Linked DNA regions of Oryzias latipes. The protein of the gene in region 2 purifies or fractionates together with the protein of the main gene of each other region. This does not show direct contact. Links are inferred from orthologs where the notes say so. Each region holds a gene or a part of one and is shown on either strand. Other genes may lie near its edges.

Region 1 (4,151 bases), on a different chromosome or scaffold from region 2:
CACATTCAATCATGATAAAACATCGCGAGAAAAGGGGAGGACGCACGTTAAAAGTTCTTATAGTTAAAGTAATAAATTACAGAAACGGTTGGTGCTAAATAAAGGAAATCTGTGTATTTTGTTACTCTTTCTGCAAACAGTGGATCACTGAAGTAACAATGAACAAGGTTTATTTTATACCAATGGTAACTGAAACCAGCAGCATTCATATTACCTTATTAGAAACTAGTTTACTTGAAAGATTTTATTTTTTTAAACATTTTCTACGGATAATCATTTTGTTTTTAATGATAAACATCATACAAACATTTGCATTCATGCAACAAAAAGAACTCAAAAATCATCTGTGGTTATATTTTATTGTTGCCTTTAAAGGTTAAGGATAACATTCAACACATGAGTAAAGGAAATGCATATACAAGACAATTAAAATACCCATTGATGATAAAAATAGGCTACATAGCATTGATCATACTAAGGGGCAGAACAATTTTTAAATTCAATCGAATGTTAAAAGTTTTTTATTGATTCAAGCCATTTTCAGCAATAAAAACAAGAAAAGACAATAAAGATCAAACTAAACATTTATAAAGATATCTTATCTCCTTACATCTTATATCTATATTCTTAATCAATTATAACATACAATTGTAATATAATTTGAGATATTACAAGGTCTTTACCATGCAAAATCAACTTTTTGAGCTTTTAAGTTTATTTTAATGTCCGTTCCTTCCAAAAAACAAACCCTAAGCTGTATTTTGATCCATTCATCTGTCTTCATCTGCTTCCAGAACGCGGGTTAAAGTAACTGCATCTACTCGTGAGAAAAAGAAAAAAAGAAAGAGGGGATCCTCTTACATCCACGGTAAATTTGCTGCCTGAACTGAAGCACAAATGCAGGATTTGTCAGAAAAATGAACCTGAGCGGCTCTGCTGGTGGCATGACATGGTTATCACCAGCATCATGCTCAATGCACGGATCAGAGACGGACAGAGAATGCTGACATCAACAACCATAACAGAAGAGTGAAATCTTACCAGCAATACTTTTAAATACTTCGTTACAGTAAAGCTGAACATGTTTCTGTTCTGTGTTGTTTCTGTTATCAGTGACTCTCACCACAGCTGCCTTCATGCTCCTCCCATGAACTGTTATGGCTTCTGTCTGTATTTTATGTTAAAGATGTCTTAAAAATTCCCCAGCTCCCTCAATATTCTACAAACGGGTCTGAAATGGGAATTAAAATAGTAAACAATTTTTTAAAAAGCGTCTAAAAGTGGTTTTAATTAATCACTGTTGTACGTTTTCCAGTACTCCGTGAACGCGACATTGAGCATCGCGAGAGTTCGGATCGGGACGAGACTTCAGAGCGCTTAAGGAGGACTGGGAAGCGGATCCTGTTTGTTTTCGTAGAGAAAATGGTTTCTCTCTCCGCTTTCAGCCTCACCTGCGGACTCCTGGTCCTCCTGTGTTCCGGCCTCGCGGCGCTCGCGGCCTCGGACGTGTTTGAAACCGTTCTGGGGAGCACCGCGTCCTGCCGCGGCTCCTGTGAAATGACCTATAGTCTGCATACGTACCCGCGGGTGAGTGTCGGGACGGCGGCTCGGTCGGAGCGGCTGGCGATGTCGCTGTTTGGGGCGGGCCTCCGCCGCTGAGCGCCCCCGGTAACCGCTCCGGTGTCCGTCCACAGGAGGAGGAGCTGTACGCCTGCCGGAGGGGCTGCCGCCTCTTCTCCATCTGCCAGTTCGTTCGTGACGGCGGGGATCTGAACCGGACCAAGTCCGAATGTGAAGCCAGTAAGACGAGCCGCACGAGCGCGGCTCCCCGCGCGCGATGCATCCAGCCAGGTAGTCCTGAAAAGGTGATGTCTCTAAACGCTTCTGCTGACCCGCAGCCTGCCAGGAGGCCTACAGCCAGTCCGAGGAGCAGTTTGCCTGCAGCCTGGGCTGCCAGAACCAGCTTCCGTTCGCAGAGCAGAGGCACGAGCAGGTAACGAACTCCACCCGCGCGGGCGCACGCCCCACCTGCAGCCGCACGCCCCACCTGCAGCCGCACGCCTCACCTGCAGCCGCACGCCTGTCTCTGTGTTCTTAGCTGGAGATCATGGTGCCCAGGATCCACCTCCTGTACCCCCTCACGCTGGTCAGAGGCTTCTGGGATGACGTCATGAGTCAGGCCCACAGCCTCATCACCTCCACCTGGACCTTTTACCTCCAGGCTGATGATGGAAAAGTGGTCATTTTCCAGGTGAGAGCCGAGTCGCGCCGTTAGCCTTTGTCCAGGTGAGCCCGGTCATGGAAAGCAGCTCTTCTGCCCAACAGGCTGAACCTCAGGTGAAGGTTTTCCCCTGGTTTGGTCCGGACAGCAGAGCTGAAGACGACCTGCAGCAGATCTGTAAGCCTCCCTGATCTAAGTGAACGCACAGCTCTCATCCAGAGCTCACAGGTCGGCCTTTTTGTTAGAATCCCGCTACACGCATCCATGTGTTCCTGTGCAGAACCGCCTCCACGTGTTTATGGCTCTAATGTTCATTTGTGTGGCGCGTGTCATTTCTGGGGGGGGGGGCTCTGTGGAGGTGGACTTCTAGCTTCTGAACGCCACAACAGCCGAGCTCTGCTCTTCCCACACGCATAACCATCTCCTGGTTTCTCAGCTCCCGGACTCGGCAGACCCGTCTACAGGGAATACGACCGCGCACTCATCCAGGAGCGAGACAGAGACGTGACCGGCGTCCAGAGCTTCTACGACGAATACAACCTCTTCAGCTGTCTCTCAAGGTTTGTGCGCACGCTCGGGCCCGTCACCAGGAGACGGCACCGTCAGCTGAACGGTGCGACACCGAGGATCTGCTGGGTCACCGTTCCTGTTCTCTCTGCAGGAACCCCTGGCTGCCTGGATGGATCCTGACCACCACTCTGGTCCTGTCGGTGTTGGTCCTCGTTTGGATCTGCTGTGCTACCGTGGCGACGGCTGTGGACCAGTATGTTCCTTCAGAGGTAGGTCTGCCGCAGCATCAAACCCAAATGTTTTCTGAGAGAAGGGACGGGTTGTTCTTCAAATACAGTTTTCTCCATTGGGTTTGAATAGAAACTATAGAAAATCAATGGATCACTGAGTCATTTCTCCAAAAGCTTTTCAAACAGTCGGTGGACCGGAGGGACCTGATGTCCTGCAGACCCTTAGTGAGGGTTGGTAGAAACTCAAGCCTCAATAATGTTTCTACAGAAACTCAGCATCTATGGAGACAGCGAGCATCTCCCAGAGAAGAAGCTGACCCCTTACCCAGCATCCTCTCTGCTCATCATCACCTCCAAAGGGCTGGATGAAAAGGCAGGACCCCTCCCTACCAAGGTGGACCTGAACCGGTCCAGCATTTAGACGCTGCTGTGCAGAAGAGAACGTGGTTGATTTGAAACTTCTGCTCTAACCCTGCAGTGCTGATGGCTGTTTTCTATCGAGTGTCTTTCCTCCATCTCACCTTCAGGGAAACAAACGTGTTTTTATATGATTGAGGCATTAGGACATGGTGGTGGACGTGAAGACGGTTTTTCATTGTTAGCTCCCTGCTTTATTTTATTTCTATTAAAGGTTTGAATTCTGACATGTTTCCTCCTGCTCAGTAAAACCTGCTTATGGATGTGGCTCTGAAGATCTCCATGTGGACGGTACAGAGAGGAACGCTCTCCGGCTTCAGTGTTCTCTTAATGACGAGTCAGAATAAACATGACAGTCTCTGTTCTGATTTTATTCCTTTAAAAACATCTCGGAAGAAGCATTCCTTCAGCAGCGACTCGGCTGCGTTTCCCCCAGTCCGTGTTTGTGACTCGGATCTAAAGGTTCATTTATGGCAGTGGTTCCTGGTTTCTATCCTTTCGGATCTCCTGCCGTTAAGCTGCAATAATAAAATGACAACGGTCCAACATTTCCACGCGTCTGGTGTTTCTGTGCCTCCGGTGATGGCTGCTCTGCTTTTGTGGAAAGCTGCACGGCCGCCTGCGTCTCCTCCCTCAGTAGCTGCTCAGCAGATCCATGTCCTCTGCAGTCAGAGCTGAGGAGACGCCACGCTTTCTCGGGGGGCTCTGGTGGGAGACGCCACGCTTTCTCGGGGGGCTCTGGTGGGAGACGCCACGCTTTCTCGGGGGGCTCT
Region 2 (4,046 bases):
GTTACAGATGTTTCACCTGTGATCTCACCTTCTTCACGGCTCCTTGGCCGATCAGCTTCAGCTGCCGGACGTCTGCACGCACCTGGGCACACTGCAGCCAGGCTGCGCAGCTCTTCATGCTGGAGATTTTAAAGTGTCCTGGTCTGCAGGCGGTCTGAGGGTAACCGGCCTGCTCGGCCGCGCCCTGCAGGGAGTCCACATACAGGTAAATCACCCCAGTGCTGACGAGCAAGGCAGCAAGGCAGGTCATGAGTCCAGCCAGACTAAGGGAGGTTCTGCTGCGCTGGCCCGACAGACGGCCCGGCATCCTCTGCAGACACAAAAACAAAAGTAAGTGGAAACCAGAGAACGGAGGCTTAATTCTGACCAATGATTGGCTGCTGTCATCTATTACTCTACTCTTGGAAGGGATTACTGCTCAGCAGACTCTGCTCTCTTACTGAGGTTCTTGTGAACACGTGCACGTGATGTCTCTCTGCAGATGTGATGGCAACACGTGGAAGCTCCGCCCCCTCGGGGCTGCAGCTCCCAGCAGAAGAGGTCACTGCTTTAGAGGAACAACAGCAGTCAGCAGACAGAAAGATTAGGTCCGGCATTCGTAGTGGTCCAACACGAACACATCAGAACCACCAGAACCAGCCTCAACCTGCTGACTCAAACACCCACAAGAATGCTGAGGGTTTCTATCAGAACCATTGAGAGCTGTTCTGCGGGTGAAGCGGACCGTGCAGCTGATCCAGGACCAGATGTGACCTGCAGAAGCAGACTGCATCATTCTACCGCAGTGGCGGTCGGCAGCGAGTCTGCGTCTGCGCAGATGACAGAGGGGTGGATGGATGGATGGATGGATGGCTCCCTGCGGCTCCGCGGAACGACACGCGCTTTCACCGCACAACATCGACGGACATAAATACGCCGTCGCCAGGTAACGCAGTGACGTCACTCACCGCCATGTCAACAGTCTCCTCCCGCTCTTCTCCTCTTCAGTGTGCTCGCACTCCCGATCCAACGTGAGTTTTTCTCCTGGGTCTCTCATGATCCGGAAAGCTCCACGTACGCGCGTGTTTCTGGCATATCTGCCCCCCTCGGCGCGCGCGCTCACGAGCAGCTTCTTTTCTGCTATGGCGCTGGACGCGCGCGGGTTTCTTCGAGGCTGCAGCGCCCCCTGCTGGGCTGGTGGTAGAAGAAAGGCTTCATCCAATGAGCGATATAACTCATTGGCTTCATCCACCTGCACCACCCGGACCAGGGGCAGCCTGTGCCCTGCTTTTAGTCTGAAGGCAGAACATCAGGAACCTCTGGGACATCAAAGAACCTCAGTGTCCACGAGAAATGATAACGTTTACAACAGTTGTGGCAAAGGTGTAAAATCAACAAATGAGAGTCGGAACAGACGGAACAGAAAACATAGCAATGCTAAAGGGTCAATAAGAGAATTCACAGTAGGCCAAGTAAATGCATAATATAAGATAAAAAGGGGATATAACCTATAGACATGACAAGAAGCAGTTACAAATTAGGGATTATCCATAAACTGTAAATGACACATGAAATTTATAGCAGTTTTCTTTTCCATGATGGTAACAAATGAAAAAAGATGGTTTGGTATTAAGGAAACATTTGTGTATGTCCACAAAAACGGCCACTCCACGGTTTGTTCCGGTAGAAACAACATAAAACACGAGTGGAGAAACCATCAAATATGATGAAGAGCTTCGGCGTTTCCTCAGATGGACTGTGACTGTTGTTCATGCAGGAGCTCAAAAAGCTCCACAGATGGTGTTCTCCTCGTTTGCTCTCTTGTGATACAGAGACGGTTTGATTTGACTAAGAACATGAAGAATTTGTTTTTTCCTGCTCTTTGCTGAAACATTGTGATGAAGCTGCGATCCTTCAGTTCATCTCTGCGTTTCCTGGACAACGGCTGCAGTTGTGAGGACGTCTCCTCTATAAAACACGTTTCACCTCCAGAGCAGATGTGGTTTATTCAGCTGTTGTGTAAAGACTGCATGTCATGTGAGGTTTCTCAACCACATTTCTGACTTCTCATCTCAGAGGAGTTGGGAGAGTTAAAATGGTCATGCGAGGTCAGCGATTTGGTTATCAGCTTCCTCGCACACCAACATTGCTAGATAAAGAGGAAGCAGGTGACTTACGCTGCTGTGAGCTGATTGGTTTAGAGGGAACCTTTGGTGATGAAGCAATGACTCAACCAGAAAAACCCAGATGACAATGTGAAAAAAGTATACATTTTTATATCCCTTTCACATGTGTAGATATTTTACAAAACCTTCTCTTTTGCCTGTAGATTTGATTTTCTGTGTTGCTGCCAAATAAACACAAGTCTCTTTATTGTTTTTTCCCTTTTGAGTCGCTATGTTCTTAACCCCCTTGACACCTATTGATGCATATTTCTGCTCCAAAATTACCTTAGTTTAGCATCTACTTGAAAGCATAAACATGTGGTAAAACATCTGGAAAAAAATTCAGGGTTAGGGGCTTAAGCGAAGAGGACATTTCTCTTGCAGAACTGGGACCTCTTTGAAGTCAGTTTTCAAATCCATCTATTCTTTATTTTAACACTATTGCTACTTTTTTTTTGTTTTTCGGTGAAAGAAACGAGTAACGAAACATTCCCCAAAACATAGTAACAGTTCATTTCAGTGTGAATTTTGATTTTTGACAAATCACACTGTAACATTTATGAGAATTAAACTTCACATTCCCAATTTATAGATAAAGAGGTGCATTGTGGACATAGGCTGATTTATTTATTTACTTTACTCATTTAAAATGTCTGAAAATGTCATGGTCTACAATGAAACAAAGATATATGAAAATACAAAATTTTAACATTTTCCTGGATCATATACATTTTCAAAACAGTTGTCATGAATCATTCCAGATTAGAGTCCTTTATCCAATCCAATTATTCAGAACTCGTGCTTTAAATTAAATTTGGATTTAAACATTGAAATCGGTCATGCTTACTAAAGACTACATTTTTAGGTTGTTTTTCTGGTTACAAAAAAAAGCAGAAAATAAGAGGAAAACTGTCAACAAACAGCAAATAAGATGAAAACTGTCAGTTAACTAAATTTCCACAGAAAGTTTCAGACGTTTTGCATGTGAGTGGGTTCCGATCCGACTGAGTGTATTGTATTTTTTTTATTTATTACAGATAATCGAACCATTGTAACTGTGAAATGCTAACGATGCTAGCTAGCACTAGCTGCCGCAGCGGAAGCTGCTTTTATTCTGAAAACAGGAAGTGCTGGCGTCACTGCTGTTTTCAACAGACCGACGTCACAGGCAGAGTGGACGTGTGCGCAGACAGGTATCAGTTTGAACGTGCCTGTGGGACGTTGGTCCTCGAACTGGTTTACAAAGAGGCGCGAGCTCTTGTTCGTTTCCGGTTGCACGGTTCTGTTTAATTATCTGTCAAGAAATCGCGGAAACGACAAACCGAGGAGCTAAACGCTAGCTAACCTTGGGGAGCTACGTCACACAACAGCTCCGCATCCTGATCCTCTCCTCCTCTTCCTCCTCAGGTACGGCTCAGGTGTGTTGCAGCGCGGGTACCGCTTTCTTTTCCCGGGTTATCCCTGCTGATCGTATTTGTTCCGGTCCGGTTTGTTGTGTGTTCTGTGGTGTGGTGGTTGGTTCGGCTCCGGCTCGGTCCCCCCTCCCACTCCCACCCCCCACAGCGATGAGTCACCGAGAAGCGGATCGTGAGAACCGCTCTGCCTTCGGTCCCCATCGATCCTCACTGAGCCTCGCTGTCAGCCTTTCGGGTCCCCGGGGATCGGAAGGTCTGTGGCTGCGGACGACTTCCGGTCATAAACGAAGTTGAACTCCCTGCTGCTGCAGATGTAAACCTACTGTCTGCTGCAGATGTGGACCTGCTGCAGATGTAAACCTACTGTCTGCTGCAGATGTGGCCCTGCTGCAGGAGAAGTATATCCAAAACACAGGAGAAGAGCGTTTGGACTCTCCAGAGATCAGGTTTCGCTGCAGGCAGAACCTCTGAGCTTCTACAGTTTCTT

What was found. The genes of interacting proteins can lie anywhere in the genome.
Region 1: the proteins of pomk (region 2) and tmem59 purify together in Homo sapiens (affinity purification with mass spectrometry; 3 studies listed by BioGRID and IntAct, with this or other methods). This does not show direct contact. The link is inferred for Oryzias latipes from reciprocal best matches to the Homo sapiens genes POMK and TMEM59.

Annotation. Positions count from the first base shown.
Region 1 is NC_019875.2:30,980,302-30,984,452, forward strand, and holds tmem59 (transmembrane protein 59), read left to right. Parts: upstream 1-1,351; 5' UTR 1,352-1,422; coding exon 1,423-1,587; intron 1,588-1,694; coding exon 1,695-1,800; intron 1,801-1,898; coding exon 1,899-1,993; intron 1,994-2,098; coding exon 2,099-2,251; intron 2,252-2,325; coding exon 2,326-2,398; intron 2,399-2,657; coding exon 2,658-2,781; intron 2,782-2,882; coding exon 2,883-3,000; intron 3,001-3,229; coding exon 3,230-3,382; 3' UTR 3,383-3,926; downstream 3,927-4,151. Other genes in the region: lrrc42 (leucine-rich repeat-containing protein 42), read right to left, coding at 4,012-4,151.
Region 2 is NC_019870.2:26,977,461-26,981,506, forward strand, and holds the start of pomk (protein O-mannose kinase), read right to left. Parts: upstream 2,801-4,046; 5' UTR 954-2,800; coding exon of another isoform or gene 948-953; 5' UTR 597-947; coding exon 441-596; exon of another isoform or gene 311-440; coding exon 29-310; intron 1-28. Other genes in the region: pam (peptidyl-glycine alpha-amidating monooxygenase), read left to right, coding at 3,207-3,337, 3,552-3,562. UniProt on the Homo sapiens protein: Protein O-mannose kinase that specifically mediates phosphorylation at the 6-position of an O-mannose of the trisaccharide (N-acetylgalactosamine (GalNAc)-beta-1,3-N-acetylglucosamine (GlcNAc)-beta-1,4-mannose) to generate phosphorylated O-mannosyl trisaccharide (N-acetylgalactosamine-beta-1,3-N-acetylglucosamine-beta-1,4-(phosphate-6-)mannose).